Linked DNA regions of Canis lupus familiaris. The protein of the gene in region 2 purifies or fractionates together with the protein of the main gene of each other region. This does not show direct contact. Links are inferred from orthologs where the notes say so. Each region holds a gene or a part of one and is shown on either strand. Other genes may lie near its edges.

Region 1 (5,695 bases), about 6.1 Mb from region 2:
AATATATAAATAAATAAATCTTAAGAAAAAAAAAGTGTGAAAAGTGTGTGTCCTACTGAGCCAGCCAGGAGCCACTTGACCCTTTTGGGGACAACTCTTATAGGCCCAGAGCCCAGTGCAAGACTCACTGAACACTTGCCATGAGGAAAGACTCAGACTGCTTTAAACAAACACACACACACAGCATTTCTATGGGTCACTGAGGCCTTTTTATTCTGCACATAAAACCACTGGGGATCTTGCCTGTGGACACCTTGAGATTATTACATAGACAGACCTGGCTCCAGATGCTTGGTGGAAGTGAGGTGAGAAAGCAATGATTTGGACCAATTACATGTTTACAGAGCTAGGGTTCCCAGCAGGGTTCCAGATGTCAACTCTGGCTTCTGTAGCAATTCTAAGGAAGCTTTGAGAACATCACGGGGAAGGGAGAGGGCAGCTAACTAGCACAGGGCCCTGCCACTTTGGGCTGGGGGCCTTGAGCTGCCCGGGGGAGCAGAGGTCTAACGAGCTGACTCAGGACCACAGGGTGCGCCACCTGGACCTTACTTGGCAAGGGGGTTTCTGAAGCTTCTGCCGGCGAACTTGGCCTTGCTACCCAGTTCCTCTTCAATTCTTGGGAGGCAGAGGAGAGAGGGGGAGGGGGAGGAGGAAAAGAGAAGTCAAACATCTGTCCCCAAGGCCCACATCCCCTACCCAGATAGCAGGGACCAGCCTCCTCTGGATGTGGCTGCTCAGAGGCGGCAGGAAGAGAGGGGCATTTGGCTCTTGTGTCCACCCAGCTACCCCAGCAAGTGGGCCACTCACTGCTGCTTCTGCTTCCCAACCTCCCCCGCCCCCAGCATTTCCCAAAGACAAAGTAGAAAAAAGGGCAGAAGTGCTAGTTCTTGGAAGAGAAAGAAAAATGATTTTAATGAAAGGACAACCCAGTTTCTTTAGAGGTGGCATAAGGACACACACTCGGCGTGGATGTTACAGAATGACCGAATCCCCGGCACTCTCATGGCATGGGGAGAGCAGGGTGGTTAAAAAGTAAACAAATGTTTCTCGGAGACCTATACTCAGGTATTTACAGGTGAAATCTTAGAACTGGAATGTGCTTCCAGTTCTCCAGTAGAAAAGGAGGAAACGTAGTGTATGAAGAGAAGCCCCGTGGGAATGCCGACAGCTGCCCTGTGTGGGTCACAGGGCAGATGTCCCACCAGGCACCATTTAAGCAAAGGGTAACCAGGCTGACTCAAGACTGGAAAAAGGAACAAAAAAATAGACAAGTCTCCATGTTCAGGGGCCCCCAAGGACCCATTATGGTAATAAAAAGGGACCAGAACATCCAAAGGCACTGGGTTCCAGTGGGAACCTGCCTGTCCCCCTTCTATGAGGCCCGGTGTCCTCACTCACAAAACACAGTGCTGGACTAGTCAATCACTAAGGCTTCCTGCTGGCTCTAAAAATTCTAGGATCACATTATTCTAAAGGGGACCTGTTCCCTCTTCCACCACAAGATGGCAGCATGGTCCTCAGCCTCCAGCTCTGGGCCCATGCCTCAGGGGATGTAGGTTCTGTGCTGGGGCAGCCCCTAAACCAAGGGCCCCCACCTGCATACCCCCCATAGAACCAGGGCTCCCCCTGGAGGATGGTGCCCACACACTCAGTGCAGGTTGGCTTCCTTTTTACCTGAGGATCTGGTTGTACTTGGCCAAGCGCTCAGATCTGCATGGTGCACCCGTCTTGATCTAGAAGGGAAAAGAAAGGTCACTTGTGTTTGTCATGGATGCTCAATCTTCATGGGCATTTAGGGCAGAAAGGAGGGCATCAAGGGGCATCCAGGATCCCATCCTCCCCCTCCTTCTTGGCATGCTGCTCGAGAAGCTGAGGTCCCAGAAGAGTTAAGCAGCTCTTTACCTGCCCAGTGCAGAGTCCCACCACCAGGTCAGCGATGAAGGTATCTTCGGTCTCCCCGGAGCGATGCGACACCATGACGCCCCACCCATTGGACTGGGCCAGCTTGCACCTACAAGGCAAGAAACCACCGGACGGTTGGATGGTGTGACTCCCATTTCCTGGGCCCTGCAGTCGTTCTGGCCCTCCTGATGCCAGGCCTCAACACCCCCAGTGGGAGACCAGAGGCAGCTCAGGGCCAGGAGGACCTTCTCAGCCCTCTAGGTTACTTTTTAAAAGGTGGGTTCAGACTCCTTGAGGGGAGAGGCTTATCTCCCCAGACAGTGCCTATGCCTGATGTTTTCCACCAAAGATCAGGTCGTGAGTCTAGAACCAAGACTGGACAGGACTGGGCCACAGCTGCCTGATACCCCAGTCTCCTTGGCACCACTGCAGATTTCAGAAGCCACTTGCAGGCTCCCATCACAGCTCTAGCCAGGTGCTCTGGCTGACATGCAGTACCTTGTTCTGACAGCTGAGCCCTGAAGGGACTTACGCCTGAAGAGACTCGGTCACAGAGCCAATCTGGTTCACTTTAAGCAGGAGGCAGTTGCACGATTTCTCGCCCACAGCCTTGGAAATCCGCTTTGGGTTGGTCACGGTGAGATCGTCCCCCACCACCTGGATTCCAGCGCTGGCAGTGAATTTCTGCCAAGCTTCCCAGTCATCCTGGTCGAAGGGGTCTTCGATAGACACCACTGGGGAAAGGAGAGCCATGTGTGGTCGGTGAGACCCCTGTGCTGACCGCCACCCGAACCTCCTCACTTGGCCTCACCCCTCTCCCGCAGGACAGGACTGGCTCCCCACGTCCCCACCGACTCCTGTGACAGGGCACCAATGTCACCTGCAACCCTAGGACCCTACAGACGCTAAGTGGGACACTTCCTGTCCAGGGTGGCTTGAGTTTAGTGCCGGCGAGAAGAGAAAAGCTGTGGGCTCAGGAGACTGCGGAGCTGGGCTCGCCCTGGCTCCACTGAGCACGTTCTCTATCTTTGTTCCAGCAGGGACTCAGACTTCCTGGTCTGATTCTTGCTCCGTCACCTGCTAAGCACCTTCGGGCCGATTACTAACCCACTCCGTGCCTCAGTTCCCCTCATGAAACAGCAGGAACAGTCCCTACCCTGCGTGCGTGAAGTGACATAGAGACTAGAGGAGCGCCAGCTCACTGTGTCACCCACGGGCAGTCAGCAGGCTTGAGGCTCGCTCTGCTCACGATGGAGCCAGGACAGCCTTTGCTCAGGAGGCTGTGATAGGGACAGAGGGCTCACACACTCTGGAGACCACCTACCACCTGAGGTCAGTGCTGGCTGGCACCCCAGAACCACCTGACTCCACTGCTCCACCAGTGCCCGCCTGCCCCGCTCACCTGGGTAGTCCCTGATGAAGGACTTGTAGAGGTCAGCCAGCTGATCAGGCGTGATGTACCTGCTGGGGTCATCAGGGGACTTGAAGTCCAGGTCATACTTCCCAGACCTGAAGAACTCGGAAGCAGCTACGTCCATGCCGATGACCACCTTATCGGTGTAGCCAGCCTTCCCGATGGCATTCTTCAGCAGTTCCAGAGCTGGAAAGAGGTTGGCGACAGGATTGGAAACCAGGCAGGTGGAGAAAAAAGTTCCCTTCAGCAGCTGCCAAATGGGGAGCTCTAACAGAATGACCACGAGGTACTCTGACCCCAATCATCGCTTTGACGAGTCCAGTACTTCTTTCCGCATTGGAGCAAGAACCTGCTGGAAACGGCCCCCAGCAGACGGCCAAATGGAAAATTTAGTCTCTCCTCTCAGAGAGTTTCTTGCTGACACATGCTCCCAAATTTAGCAGCCAGGAGTGACTGTGCTGGCTGAGACAGTTACAGTGACCAGCTGAGAGCCGCTGTCCTAGGAACCCAGGAGGGCAGCAAAAGGGTGAGGCCCGGCCTCTGGGGCCTCTTGTCTCCAGCTCGAGGGCGGCCTCACACGGCAGAGCTGCCCGGACAGAGGCGGACAGAGGCACTTGGCGTCTGCTCCCTACCACAGATCTCCAAGCTATCCCATTAAACCACGTGAAAGGGTCATTTTTTGTAGGTCAAAGTAGCTGAGCCTCAGCATTTTGTATGACTGACCCAAAGAGCAGGATGGATGCTTTTTCCTTTACTAGTTGTCCCTGAGACAACAAAATGTGGTTGAACCCTCCTTTCCTTCTAAAACAAAAAGCTCAGCCGTGAGTTCTCCTCTTAAGACTCTCTGTGCCCTACCCAACTCTTACGTTGAACCCTGTGCCTAAGGGCTCCAGGCAACAAGGCACTGTGTGAACAGCCCTGTAGTGGATGAACTGGGGGGGGGGGGGGGGGGGGGGGGGGCTCCTGGTCACGGGCTGGACAGACGACATCTCCGGGACACAGTGCGGACTTCAAACCTTTGCCCTTATGAGGTGGTTCAATGGCAAGAGAGCAAGTAGGGGCACGTGGTGGCTTAGCTGGTTAAGTGTTTGCCTTCAGCTCTGGTCCTGATCTGAGCCTTTAGTTCAGGGTCCTGGGCTCGAGTCCCTCATCTGGTTCCCTGCTCAGTAGGGGGTCTGCTTGTTCCTCTCCCTCTGTCCCTCCCCCCTGTCCATATTCTTTCTCAAAAGAATAAAATCTTAAATAAGCAACCAGGCCACTCAGAAATCAAATTAATAAGCAAATTCCTTATTTTAACAAATAAAGTACTAGCTTCCCCATCTGTTCCCAGAAGTCTGCTTGGTGAACAGAAGGTGGAAGGACCAGAGCTCCCTGCATCACAGTTCCGGCACATCTGCTAAGCGTGCGGGCAGTGCCACGGAATGCGGGGACTCCTCCAGAGCCTTTACCTTCTTTGTTCTCCAGGATATTAGGAGCAAATCCACCTTCATCGCCCACATTGGTGGCATCTTTTCCATATTTCTCCTTGATGACATTCTTCAGGTTATGATAAACCTCTGCTCCAATGCGCATGGCCTCCTTGAAGTTCGCTGCACCGACGGGAAGGATCATGAACTCCTGCATGGCCAGCTTGTTGCCAGCATGGGAACCACCGTTGATGACATTGAAGGCCTAGGGAGAGATAGAGAGAAATACAGCCATCTGGCCCAGAGAGCGCCCCCAAGCAACCTCCTCACGACTGCATGGCTCACAGTGTGGCTCTGAAATGCTCACCAGGTCTCTCCCGCTAAGAGCAGCGGTCACCACCAGGTGTGCTTACTGTCCTGAGGACCAGCTATGACCTCAGAGAACATTCACAACCCAGCAAGTATGGTTTTCATTCCCTCATCAGCAGTAAGGGATGTGGGGTACAGTCCTCTACTCAGGGTCATTCTTAGCAAGTGGCAGGTGTCTGCACCCGAGACCTCCAGGGCCTGCGCGTGCCCACTGTGCTGGGAGAGTTCCATGTGGAGGACACCAAGATGTGGGAGGTCTTAGGTTCCCACAAAGCAAATACCCACAAGCTCCTCACTTGGAGTTCCAAGCCACTCACCGGAACTGGCAGGATAACTTCAGAATTGCCAGCCAAATCAGCAATGTGGCGGTACAGGGGCACCCCCTTCTCGACAGCCCCCGCCTTGCAGACAGCCAGGGACACTCCCAGAATGGCGTTTGCACCAAATTTAGCTGGAATAGAACAATTCAGTTGAGGAATTTCATACTCCCAGCTTCCTGCTGACCTTCCGGCCTGCACCCCCACACCAGCATATACCATGGCCTGTATCTGGAACCTTTCCTCTCCTGACCACGTCTATTCCCCGAATCCGAACCAGAAACCCA
Region 2 (6,484 bases):
CGCAGGCTGGCCATGGCGCGGGCCGAGGACGGCGGAAGGCGGCCAGAGCAAGCGCGCGGGCCTGGCCGCGCCGGGAACGGGACTAGACAGGACGGGACGCAGCTCCCGGGAGGCGGTGGGAGCGCGGGCGGCGCGGGGGCGGGACCCGGGGCAGCCCCGCCCCCTCCCCGCCTCCCCACCTCCCCCCAATCCAGCTACCCAGCCCGCGCCGGTCCCCGGCCCGCCCGGCGCCCTGCGACCCGCGCCGGCCGCGAACAAAGCGCCGGGACGGCGGCGCCGGGCGGAGGCCCGGCTGGTGGGAGGGAGGGGGCCGGACTGGGTCGGGCCAAGGTGGGTGGTGGGACTCGCAGGGCGGAGGGCGGACCGAGCGGGCGGGTGGGCGGACCCGGGGGGTGGGGGGTGCTCTCTTCTGCGGCGCGCCCCCACTGACTCCCCTCCCCCTCCCGCGCGGACGTCTCTCCCCCACCCCGCGCCCCCGCCCAGGAAATGCGGCTGCAATCGGGTTAATGCATAATCTGGAGGCGACGTGACGGGACTTCCAAGGGGCTCCAGGCTGTGCCGTGGCCAGAGCCGCGGGAAGGGGCTGCCGGGTGCTGGGACCCCGCCGTCCCTCGGGCCCTGCGGGACTGCGCCCCTCCCCTGGCGGGAGGAACCCGCTGGGGCACGACAGCCTCTTGGAAAACCGGGGCCGCAAACTCGCCGGGGCGCGGGACCCCCAGCCAGTTCGGGCGAGTAGGCGGCCCCCGCAGGCCGCGCCCCCGGCGGGCTAGGGCCAATGTGGGCTGGGGGCCGTGGTGATTGGCCAGGACGGAGCGCAGACCCGCCCACCTCCCGTTCCCGGGTGAGCTGGGGCCTCACTGCAGAGCGGAGGGCTCCCTCTACAGGCCAGCGGTGACAACGTGGGGCCGGCGGCGCACGGACAGCCACGCCCCCTCTTCAGCCCCGAGATGAGCGCCTCTCCAGCCTGCCGGCCTGGATAACCCGGGTAAACCGAGATCCAGGGGGTACAAATGAGAGCCTAGCTTAGCTGGAGATGGAGGGAAGGGAGAGGCTACCGCTTCTGTCCCGCCAGGGCCGGGTCGCCGGCACACCTCCTCAACTCCGAGCCAGCCACAGATCGCTGAAGCAATGGAGGGTAAGTGGCAGAAGAGCCCCCCTCTGGAGGAGGACCCTACCTCCCCAGGCCCTGGTGGGAGGGTGCCACCAAGGGTGTATGCTCACACTGGCTAATTTGTCTTATGACAAAGAAGGGAGGGTAGGGACCCAGGAAATGAAACTGGAATCAGGGGAGCACCCCACCCCCCCCACACACACAGCTGCCTGTCTACACATATTGGTCACAGATAAGCCAGACCTAGAAGTCCCTTGGCCTAGATACAGACCCCCACAGACCAGAAAGGGGCTTCTGGGCCTCCAGCCAAATTACCCTTGCAGTCTGAAAGCTGAAGTCTGAGTGTCCTCAGAGAAGTATGTTCTGAGCGTCCACCCCCCCCCCCCACACACACACACACTCCCCATCTTGCCTGTGTCCAAGGCTGACACCATCTGGCTCCTGTAGAGTTCTTGGGGAATTGGTATAGAAAGAACCATTCTATGTGGAAGCAGGTGTGTTTCCACCTATGTGGAAATAGGTGCCCCCCACCTAGGACAAGCTCTTCCGTATGAACTAGAGGAACCCCTCATCCCGGGAGGCCCCTCTCCTGCTGGCCATGGCCTCTCCATTAAGTAAAGCCCTGAAGGAAGGTGTATCTGCTGGAGAATAGTCTCCGTTTAGCAGTTTGTGGGACAGTGATGTGTGTGTTCAAGGCCCTGCCCGTACCCCTCCCTAAACCAATGCAGACTGGACAGGGCAGGCTGATGGATCCTGGAGGGCCATGAGGCCCCAGGGCCCTGGCTGGTTTGGAGGAGCCTGCTTCACAGCCCACCGAGGCAGGCTCTGGGGCCTCACCCTCTCACCATTTCCAGGGGTGCTGGTCCCAGCAGGAACCTGACCACACCTCCCCCCACCCCACCATACTGTCTGCTGACCCAGATGTAGGGAATGGGAACCAGTTGTGCAAAGGCTGATTCTGGCTCAATCTGGAGATAGAGGTGGGCTCCAGCAGATGTGTCTCTTTTCTTTCTCTAGAAGTTAACTTCCCGAAGGTGTGGGGACATCTTCAATTTGTCCAAGGTGTGGATGGGAGTAGATCTCTATTTTGATCTCACTAGTCTTGTCCCTTAACTTGGCAACCCCAGCCTACTGACCACCCAGCGTCCCTGGGTCTCCTTATCCCACTTCCTCCTCTGTCCCTCCCTGTCCACATCAGCAGGGATGCAGAAGTGAGGGATGCTGGGGGAAGGACCAAGCAGAAGGAGCCATTTAATTTTGTCAACTTTTATTACCCATACTTGGTCAAGGACTTGGGTGGGTGGCTCTCAGCACTGCCCTCCTGGTCCTGCCCAATTCCCACCACCACCCCGCAGGCGTAAATTCATGAACACAGTGCACTGGGGTGTGAGACCATACTCCCCCAGCTGGTGCTTGTCCTCCATGGGCTTCCCTTCAAAAGTCAGCCAGAACAGGTCAGCCTGCACGTGCTCCTGCTGGCACACTTGCTGCTTGAGCTCAGCCACAGTCTGTGTCAGCCAGACCTCGTAGGCGATACTGCGACCCTTATTGTTTCTCACCAGGATGCTCAGGGGGTCATTACAGTTCTTCACCACCAGCAGGACTGTGCTGCCAGGACACAGGCCCTGCCTGATGAGGGAGATCCCATCCTGCAGCACTGTGCCAGCCGGGTGGGTAGCTAGGCGCTGTTGGAACGCAGGCACGCCAGTTTTCAGGGCTATCTGCTGCTTCAGCTCTGATGCCAGCATAGAGTCCCTCAGGGGCACCAGGAACTCCTCACCTCCCAGCATCTTCACAGTCAGGTTCCCAGCCTGTGGGCATCACACAGACTCATAAACCTCACCATCAGTCCTGGAGCCTCTACATGCAGATCATTGGCCACAGGGAAAGCTGTGCTCTCCTCCCCACCCACCAGGAAAGGAACCCCAGGCACTAGAGGGAAGCAGGGAGCATTTCCAGAAGAAAGGCCCATCCCCCAGGACCATCACCTCACCTCCTCAGCCCACTAAGATGCCTTCCTGTGCCAATGCCAAGGGATCTCAGAATTCAACACTGGCAAAACACATTTTCCCAGACCCAGACCTCAATCTCAGAAGCGGCCCTGCCCCTCCCCTCATGCTTAGGGACCTGGGGGAGCTCTGAGCACCTCCACTTGCCTGGCTCCACCCTTGGAAGACCCTAGCAGTAAGATAGGAAAAGAGCCTGGTACAGAGCCCACCTGCCCCCCGCCTGTCAAACACCCCTTACCATGGCTGTAGGCTCCAGCATCAAGTCCTCCAGGGGCACAGATGGATTGGCTGCCTCTCAGCTTGCAGCTACTCTCCTGTTCAGCCCTTTTATGAACCTGAGCTGTTCACGTCAGAGGGCAGTGTTGGGGAGAGAGCCTGACCATTGGCTGAATTTAGCTTCGGTTTCAGTTTCCTTTTCCCAGGGAATGCTCCTGTGAGTAGCAGAAACAAAACAGTAATAAAGACCTGGGATTACCCACCTGCCCAGAGACTCAGGACAATGCTCTCACCCTGTGTTCATTCAGAAACCCCCGTAAGTGTCTAGCACTTCAGGTTCTTTACAAGCTACACGGAAGTCATAACAGAAACTAATGACTGGAAACATTCACTTTCCATTTACCAATTTGCAAAATTAGTAAGTTTGGAAAACATTGCTGCAATTAATTCAGAAATAACAAACAAGTGACAATCCAAACTACCCAGAGATTATCACCATTGGTTTAGGATGGTATTTCTTCAGATTGTTTTTTGTTTGTTGGTTTAATGAAAGAAATATATCTCTTATTTTCTATAAAAATGAATTCATGAACACTATCCAGAAAGTGAAAAGGCTTTTCTCAAAATGGAAGAAAATATTTGCAAATCATAAGTCAGATAAGGATCTGGTGTCCATAACATATAAAGAACTCTTAGAACTGAACTATAAAAAATATAAACAATTCAATAAAAAATTGGGCAAATGGGGGCACCTGGGTGGCAGAGTTGGTTAAGTGGCCAACTCTGTTTTGGCTCAGGTCATGATCTCAGGGTTGTGAGATTGAGCCCCATGTCAGGCTTTGCACTCAGCCTGGAGTCTGCTCAGGTTTCTCTCTGCCTCTCCCCTGCTCTCTCTTTCTCTCAAATAAACAGATAAATAAATCTTTTTTTTTTAATTGGGCGAGTGTTTGAATAGATCTTTCTCTGTAGAAAATACATAAATACACATGAAAAGATGCTCAACATCATTAGTCCTTAGGGAAATGTCATTAGAGAAACTTAGATCAAAATCACAATGAGATACTATGTCACACTTATTATTATAGCATGACTATAATAATATATTAGTATAATATAAAATAATAATTCAAAAAAAACAATAACGAGTGTTGATGAGGATGTAAAGAAATTGGAACCTTCATACATTGCTGATGGTAATGTAAAAATGGTGCAGCTACTGTGGAAAACAGTGTAGTCACTCCTCAAAAAGTTAAACAGGATTTTCACATGACCCAGCAATTCCATTCCTGGGTATATGTTGAAAAGAATTGAACACAGGTGTTCAGAGAAGTACTTGTACCCAAATGTTCATAGCAGCACTATTTACAACAGAAAAAAGATAGAAATTGTGGAAACAACCAAGTCCATCAACAGATGGATGCATAAACAAAATATGATACACTCTTATGATGGAATATTATTGAGCCATAAAAAGGGATGAAGTACTAATACCTGCTACCACATGAATGAATCCTGAAAACATTATGTTAAGTGAAATAAGCCAGACACAAAAGGCCACATATATCATATGATTCTATTTATATGAGATATCCACAATAGGCAAACCCATAGAGTCCAGTATTGATTGCCAGGGAATGATTGCTTTATGAATATGAGGCCTCCTTTGAGGGTGATACAATGTCTTAGAACTAGATAGAGGTAATGGTTGCACAATGTTGTAAATATACTGACTCTGAGTTATGTACTTTAAAATGGTTAAATTTTTGTTATATGAATTTTACCTCAATAAAAACAAAGCCAAAGAAATTAACTCATCCTACTCTTACCATTTTGTAACCTGCTTCATTCAAAACAGTATATCATAAACATACCTCCATCCTACCAGACGTAGAGGACTTCTATCCTGGAGAAACATGATCTTGCTGCCTCATATGGCATCTGACCTGTACTCCCTCAAAGCCTCTTGGAACCTGCTGGTTTTCCCATTGGTGAGCTAAACAAAACACTCGACATGTGCTCACTCTGCATTTTTTTGGAAGTCATGTTTTTTTGCCTTGAAAATCATATTTTGATATGAGATATTGGAATATATGCCTCCATTGCTCAGATCTTGGTAGGATGCTGTCACCATTGATTTTGGGAAAAGATGGTATCATTATCTGGATATTGGAGAGGTGCCATCTTTGTTATTCATTCATTTGGCTAACATGTCTTTACAGAGTACACACTTTGTGCCAGGTACTACTCCTGGACAAAATGGAGTTCACATTCTAGTGTAGTGGACAGACATTGGGTGGTATAAGTAGGTACAGAAGTCATGTGTTGCAGGGTGCCCAGCTGGCTCAATTGGTATAGCGTGCAACTCTCAATCTCAGGGTTGTAAGTTTGAGCCCCATGTTGGGTATAAAGATTACTTAAAAATAAAGTCTAAACCAAAAAAAAAAAAAAAAAAAAGAAAGGCATATGTTGCCAGGGATAAGTACAAAGAAGAAAAGAGCAGAAAAGGGGGATGTAAGTCCTAAAGAATCCCAGGCAGAGGCCAGGGTGCTGCAAAACCCTGGGGCAGGAGTGTGTCTACACATGCGGGAGGCAGTAAGGCTGATGAGTGGATGCAGAGAAGCAGGGCATGGAGATGGCCACTGGAGACACTATGCATTCCCCCAGGAGGGGCTGACCTGATTTTGCTCAGGCCTAACAGGATCATCAGGACAGTTGCATGAAGTAGAAGACCTCAGGTCAGGAAGGGAGCTGGAGATCAATTAGGAGTTTCTCTGAAAATCCAGAGAAAATGTGGTGTTGGTGTGGAGTCAGTGGCAGGAGAGGTATTGGATATATCAGGGAGCTAGAGCTGTAGTAGGGCCTGATAGGCCAGGGTGGAGAGTGGACTCCTAGTGTCAAGGGTGGCAGCAGAATGCTGGTCTGAGGAGTCCAAGAAAGATGTAGGGGAGGCAAGGGGCTTCAGTCAGGCCCAGACACCAGGCAGAGACTGCCCCATTTGTCTAAACAGAAAAGTTAGTATAACAACTTGTTCACCAGGTGTCAGAGGGGGGAAAGTCATAGGAGAACATGGGGACACTACAGTGGGGCAGGAGGTTGGGCAGCAGAGAAGAGGCTAGGGCTATAGAGGGTAGAGGTGGGACAAAAGTGG
Region 3 (7,036 bases), on a different chromosome or scaffold from region 2:
TTCATGGACACTTTACAACTTACCTTCCACATGCTACCTGGGTCACTCTATTCCCAGCAAGCTCAGTCACCAAACGGGGTCTTAACTCATTCTGTGTTGAATTGTGACCGAGCTGCCCATATTTTCCAGCACCAAAAGTAAATACCAGCCCATCCTGAAGAAAGAAAACTTATCAGATTCTAAAGAAATACAACAGTAAGTAATATTACTGAAAAATTAATAAAAAGACTGAATAATTAATAAAATTAATATCAGGGGAGCCTGATAGGTGGCTCAGTCAGTTAAGCATCTGCCTCTTGATTTCAGTTCAGGCTATGATCTCAGGTGCATGAGATCAAGCCCCACAATGGGCTCTGTGCTCAGCAGGAAGTCAGTTTTTCCACCCCTCTCTTGGCCCCTCCCCCCCACTCATGTGCACACACTCTCTAAAATAAACAAATCTTTAAAAAAAAAAAGCAAACTCCTAAAATTATCAGGAGGACAATCCTGCATGTAGGAAGTGACCTCTTTTCCCAGGGAATCACTAAGTGTGCACACCTAGGTGTTCCTGTGCTTTCCCCACTAAAAGTTCTTCCAGAATTATCATTGGAGAGAACAGGCAACACGCACCTTTGTGAGCAGGGCAGTGTGAGAGCCACCACAAGCGAGGAATTCTACTTTCTGATTGTCCAGTGCTTCAATAAGAGAAGGAAAATCTTCACCTACACAAGGAAAAGAATAGAAGTAATAAAAAAAAAAAAAAACATCGACTTGCACATTGGAGTTCTATGCTACTAGTAAAATACCTGGACTCCCAGCTGGCAACCACAGTTCCCAAAACCCAACAGGAAAGGCCGCTGGATTGGTATATTTATTTTGGCCTAAAACTGGGGGTGAGGCAGTGGTCAAAGGGCCACACACAGGAGAACTCATATGCCAAAGTGTCAAGCCAGTTCCTAGAACCCACTCTTCTTTTAGCCTAACTTCATTAACTTTAATTGCAGCATTATCTGGTATTTCCAATTCCCATCTAAAATCACCCTTTTAATAAACATACCCTTTTTTTCTTTTATATTCTCTATTCCCGGGTCACCTGGGTGGCTCAGTGATTGAACATCTGCCTTCAGCTCCGGGTGTGATCCCAGGGTCCTAGGATCAAGTCCCACATCAGGCTCCCCTTGGAGCCTGCTTCTCTCTCTGCCTAAGTCTCTGCCTCTGTGTCTTTCATGAATACGTAAATAAAATCTTAAAAAAAAAAAACTCTACTACCATGTCCCTACCCCACACTACCTCTTTTTTCTTTCAACGATTGCTTTGTCCTAGTACTTAGGGATTCAGCAAATACAGTTTAACTGCTTTTTATTCCCTTCGCCCATGGACTTATGGTTTCTCCTGAGTAACTAGCACTGGACCATGTCGGGGAAAGGTGCAGTATGACCAGTGACCCAGGGGGTAACATGTGCATTACCACAGTTGATAAAGCAGCAATGTGCCACACCTGAAAACTCCAAGAGGGTATTTTGGATCATAAAAAAATTTGCCATCTGCTTTGTGGAAGTAGTTCGATATGGGAATTACAGATTTTTTTCCCTATCTGTGTATACAGATATAATTAATACCTTATAGACTAAGTTTAGAATATGTGAGTTTCTAAAGAAATCATTAGTCTCCTTCTGTCCTAACATGGATATACTTCTGTTAACAGACATTTAAGTGCAAAGGCACTTTAGAGGTTATTTCAACCAAAAGCATCACTTTACAGAAAAAGAAAATAATGCCTAGAGAAAAATTAAGTGACTCAGCAAGGCCTTCTCATTAGTTAACTTGCAAAGTAGGAAGCAGAGCCTAGATATTCCCAACAGTCCAATGTCCTTTCCCTGAGCCCACACAACCCTGACATACATTTAATCACAACCACCTCCACACAATGCATGTCTTCTAGATTGATTCTGCCCTGAAGACAAAGATAACCAGGAAGAACAGCATAAATGACAGTGAAGATCTAAACCATTTTTGACAGGGAGGCCCTCCCTCGAGTTAAATTCATCTCTTATCTAACAAATATATCTGACAATAAGAGCTTGAAAATATGTTTCCATACCGTTAGTGTGGCCCAGGCCTAGTTGTCCCAAATCATTTCTTCCCCATGAGTAAATGTTTCCAGACATGGATAAGGCCATGCTGTGGGCTTTTCCCGCGGAAATCTGAACCAATGGGACTCCTGAGAGGTGCTCCACAAGCTGTGGCGTGGGGATTGAGGTGAATAGTCTTCCAACTCCAAGCTGGCCATGTAAATTCTGTCCCCACGCAAAAAGCTCACCACCTTGACATAAACAAAAGGCTGCCTTATTAAGTTTCAAGTGCAGGAAACATTAACTTAGGACATGTTATGTTATCCATACTATACAGTCTCTTACATTCAACTTCTCAGATACTGTATGTCTGAGACAATGAAACTAGAACATCTTCTCTTTAGCAATAACAGTTATACTTCTTTACTTCCTGCCTCAAAGGGTAGTGTCCTTGCTTCCCCAAATCTCATCTTCCTAGATTGTGACTTACCAGTAATAAACCCTGAACATCCCCACTTGTCCCATATCACTAGATTGTGGGCTTCTTAAATGGTCATGTCCACCGCCCACTCCCACCCCGAAATATACCTGTTGAAATCCTAACCCTAAACGTGAAGGTATTAGGAGGTGGACCTTTGGGAGATGATGAGGATTACCTGAGATCATCAGTATGGAGCCCTCAAAAATGGGATCAGTGCCCTTAAAAGAGACATTCCAGAGAGTTCTCTTGCCCTCTCCACCACTTACATGGTGGACCTTCAAAAGACATTCAATCTGCTGACACCCTGAATCGGACCTTCAAATTCCTGCTGTTTCAGTCAGCCAATCTATGGTATTTTTGTTACAGCAGCCCGAACGGACAAAGACAGGTAGAATGGAGCTACCTGAACATATTATAATCAAAACCAAGAAATATTTATTTAAAAAACAAATCATGATGGGCCCAAGAAAACCAGAAACTTTCTACATCTGGGAAAATAAAGCCTAAAATTAATGTTTGCCTTCTGCCCACCTGCTCTGTTCATTAGCCTGAAGATTCTAAATAATTTATACATTTGAAATCATAGCACAGTATCTTGACTCCACATCTTCTTCCTTAATTGAATACATGGAGCCTATTTTTCAAGACAACTTAAGTGTTATCTGATGGAGATGACAATATCTAACAGGGTCTGAAAAAAATATATCAGAGTATTAATGTTTACTGAGTACCTCTTTGCAAAAGACTGTGCAGGATCTGGTGGGAGGCAGCACCTCTCCTTCAAATGTAATTATCAGGTGCCTACCAGCCACCAGGCATATAATGAATGATGAAATGGTTAGTTCTCTTTCTTGCTTCCCTTTCATTCTTCCTAGATTATGATTACCAGAAATAAACTCTGAATATCTTTTTTGCCCCACGTCATTAGACTCTAGGCTTCTTGAAGACCTGGTGTATCCATTTATCTTTATAACTTGAATAGGGTAGGGGATCCCTGGGTGGCTCATCGGTTTAGGGCCTGCTTTTGGCCGAGGGCATGATTCTGGAAACCCGGGATCGAGTCCCATGTTGGGCTCCCTGCATGGAGCCTGTTTCTCCCTCTGCCTGTGTCTCTGCCTCTCTCTCTCTCTGTGTCTCTCTCATGAGTAAATAAATAAAATCTTTTAAATAAGTAAATAAATAACTTGAAAAGGGTAGATATTCGAAATATGTGTTGGTGAATGGATAAATTCAAACAACCAGGTCAATTTTTTATTTTTTTGTTTTGTTTTGTTTTTTTTTTTTTTTTTTTTTAATTTTTTAAATATAAGTTCATACTCTCAACTTCAACTGGGCTTTCAGCAAAGGTCAAATTCTAGATTAGTTACTTCTATTTCACCCCAGTTTCCCTTCAGTTTGTTTCTATCTGCCTTATATATTTAAAAAAAAAAACTTTTGGGGGGGCACCTGTGTGGCTCAGTGGTTAAGCATCTGCCTTTGACACAGGTCATGATCCCGGGTCCTGGGATTGAGTCTTGCATCAGGCTCCACACAGGGAGCCTGCTTCTCCCTCTGCCTGTGTCTCTGCCTCTCTGTGTGTGTGTGTGTCTCATGAATGATCTTAAAAAAAAAAAAAAGAAAAAAAGAAATAGGAAATAATAAGGGCTGGAGAGAATCCCTGAATTTAAATGATAACGAGGAACACATAGAGGCCTGCAAACTGGCCACAAGATTAGATCCAAGGGAGTCTAAGCTCCTGTCATGGGCGCTGAAAGAGAACTAGAAAAAGGGAAGCAGGTTCTAGAAAAGGCATCCATGCTTGGTCCTCTTTCCAGAATGATTCTAATTATTCAGAATATTTTCATTGTTTCTTATTTGAAAAATAAAAACATGGAACTGTTGAAATAAATCTCTCAAGTCAAGATGGAACCAGTGCTGTATCAGCAAACTGACTTACAAACTCCTTTAACTGCTCCACTTGACCAGAAACACTATATATCCAGTAAACTAATCCCCAAACACCAAGCCAACTCTGAGCCATATAGTTGTTGCCTGCTATTTCTAAATAAAATTAGATATGCAACCCCCAATCAACCATGCCCTATTTCTGCACTGTGGCTTCCAATGCTTTAGAAAACTTGCCCTTGCTCAAAATCCTTCTAGAAGAGTGCTCCACTGCTTGTGATGCACTGTACTCCTAATCCATCGATTGTCCTTGAACAAAGGGTATCAAATTCTTTACTAAATTGTTTGTTTTGTCATTTGACAGAATGCAATGTAGAAACGATGAATATGGAAACCTAAAGATTTTATAGATCCAAAAATTCTTTTATTTTGTAACAAGTGCCTTGGGGTGCCTGGCTGGCTCAGTTGGTAGAGCATGTGACTCTTGATTGACTCTATCTCAGGGTCATGAATTCAAGCCCCATACTGAGCCTAGAGCTACTTAAAAAAAAAAAAAAAAAAAAGAACAAGTGCCCTGAACTATAGCAAATTCAAAATCATAACTTTGTCTATTATAAAGTGAAGCACATACATTCTACTAGCTCTACATATACACATATACATGTTTATTCCTTCTAAAAAACAATATTCCAGAAAAGTACCTTTTGAGAGTGCAAGAGAATGATAATCTCCACATGTGATCTGAATTATACTTTTTTCTTGTAAAATGCATTGAAACCTGATGAAAGAAAATAAAATTTATGTCAATCACTATAATGAAAGTCACAACATCAATGTTAAATTTATTAATTGTATTTAATTGGAATTGATATAGTTCACTGATGAAATTCACTGGTCATTTCAGAATTGTTTACTTTAGAGCCACTATATAAAGCAGAGGACAAAATTCATATAAATTACCATTTTCCTATAAAAATTATGATTGCCTCTTGAGTAAAATTTAAATAATCTTTAATATAATTTTTTGTAAAAGAAAAAAAAGTTCCCTACCTTGCATGTTCTATGCTATAGTTGTACTCGAATGGTTTTCCATCTGAGGATAGAATCAGCATGTGCTCTGCTCCTTGGTCCACGGAATGTATCTTCATTTTTTTCCCTAATTTAATGCACTCTGCAGAGCAAATCCAACCAGGAATTATCACCACTCTGGTTATTACCCATTATCATTAATCATTTCGTTATAATACACTTAAAACACCCCCCAAAAAATTTCAACGAGACAACCTTGGACTTAACACGAACCTCTCTTTAAAGAAAAATTCAAGAATGAAAGCAGACAAACTAACAATGCTACTGTTTGACAACGGATTTTTTTTTCTTTTTTCTTAAGATTGTATTTATTTTTGAGAAGGAGAGAACGAGTGGTAGGGAGGAGGAGAGGGAGGGAAGGAAAGAGGAAAAGGGAGGGAGGAAAAAAGAGAGAAAGAGAGAGAGAAAAGCAGACTGCCTCCTGAGCAGGGAGCCCACCGTGGGGCTGGATCCCAGGATCCGGAGACCATGACCTGAGCTAAAGGCAGATGCATCCAAACACCCCGGCCATGGATTTTTTCAATTTGGGAAAGCATTGATTCATACTTTGTTTTAAACTGAATATAGGGCAGCCTGGGTGGCTCAGCGGTTTAGCGCTGCCTTCGGCCCAGGGCCTGATCCTGGAGACCCGGGATGGAGTCCCGCGTCAGGCTCCCTGCATGGAGCCTGCTTCTCCCTCTGCCTGTGTCTCTGCCTCTCTCTCTATGTATCTCATAAATAAATAAATAACATCTTTAAAAAATAAAAATAAACTGAATATAGTTTTGGGGTGCCTAAGTGGCTCAGTCGGTTAAGCATCTCTCTTGGGTTTCAGGTCAGCTCATGATCTCAGGATTGTAAAATGGAGGAGCTTGGAGCCTGCTTAAGATTCTTTCTCGCCCTCTGCCCCTCCCCCCTCTAAAAAATAAAATCAAATAAATTCAATATAGTTTTAAAATAACCAATTAAATATTGTTTTGAATTCCTGTTTAATAAATTGAGACAGAAATTGAATTTGAAGCGACAGAAATGAAAAATTCTATAAGAAAATATAACAATATCTGGAGAACATAACTCATTTTGTGTATTTTGAGACCTACTCTTTACAAATACAAAACAAATAATAATAAAACCTCTTAATTGCTCCATGTAGAAGCCAAGTTCTATATTTTTGAAAGGAAGAATTGTGTTTGAGGACATTTTTTTTTTTTTTTTTGAGGAGGACTATTTTTAAGGAAGAATGGTGTCAAAAGAATTTTCATGGTCATTATTGCATATTTAGCCCTTTCTAAAAATTAAGAGATTTAAAAATTGTCCAGTTACCGTTTACTCTTATTTCATTTGTTCACAAAAATTAGATAGGAGATCTTGTTTTACTTTTTGGTTCTAACCAAATAGAATTTATTCATGTAAAAATCTCAAAGCACAAACCACTTCACATTAGAAATGCTATGAGAACCAAAATAGTTTGGTAATAAAGAAGAAATGGTCCAACAGACTAATGTTTTTTAGAGATCAGCATTTCAAATCACTGGGGGGGGGGGGGGGGGGG

What was found.
Region 1: the proteins of ISG15 (region 2) and ENO1 purify together in Homo sapiens (affinity purification with mass spectrometry; 4 studies listed by BioGRID, with this or other methods). This does not show direct contact. The link is inferred for Canis lupus familiaris from reciprocal best matches to the Homo sapiens genes ISG15 and ENO1.
Region 3: the proteins of ISG15 (region 2) and HERC5 purify together in Homo sapiens (affinity purification with western blotting; 3 studies listed by BioGRID, with this or other methods). This does not show direct contact. The link is inferred for Canis lupus familiaris from reciprocal best matches to the Homo sapiens genes ISG15 and HERC5.

What each region holds. Positions count from the first base shown.
Region 1 is NC_049226.1:62,794,079-62,799,773, forward strand, and holds the end of ENO1 (alpha-enolase), read right to left. Parts: intron 5,543-5,695; coding exon 5,409-5,542; intron 4,988-5,408; coding exon 4,765-4,987; intron 3,503-4,764; coding exon 3,305-3,502; intron 2,637-3,304; coding exon 2,435-2,636; intron 2,012-2,434; coding exon 1,903-2,011; intron 1,734-1,902; coding exon 1,675-1,733; intron 616-1,674; coding exon 546-615; 3' UTR 187-545; downstream 1-186. UniProt on the Homo sapiens protein: Glycolytic enzyme the catalyzes the conversion of 2-phosphoglycerate to phosphoenolpyruvate. In addition to glycolysis, involved in various processes such as growth control, hypoxia tolerance and allergic responses.
Region 2 is NC_049226.1:56,709,712-56,716,195, reverse strand, and holds ISG15 (ubiquitin-like protein ISG15), read right to left. Parts: upstream 3,516-6,484; 5' UTR 3,380-3,515; coding exon 3,359-3,379; intron 2,923-3,358; coding exon 2,419-2,922; 3' UTR 2,362-2,418; downstream 1-2,361.
Region 3 is NC_049253.1:28,189,931-28,196,966, forward strand, and holds part of HERC5 (E3 ISG15--protein ligase HERC5), read right to left. Parts: intron 5,588-7,036; coding exon 5,467-5,587; intron 5,195-5,466; coding exon 5,118-5,194; intron 2,303-5,117; coding exon 2,081-2,302; intron 702-2,080; coding exon 610-701; intron 155-609; coding exon 24-154; intron 1-23.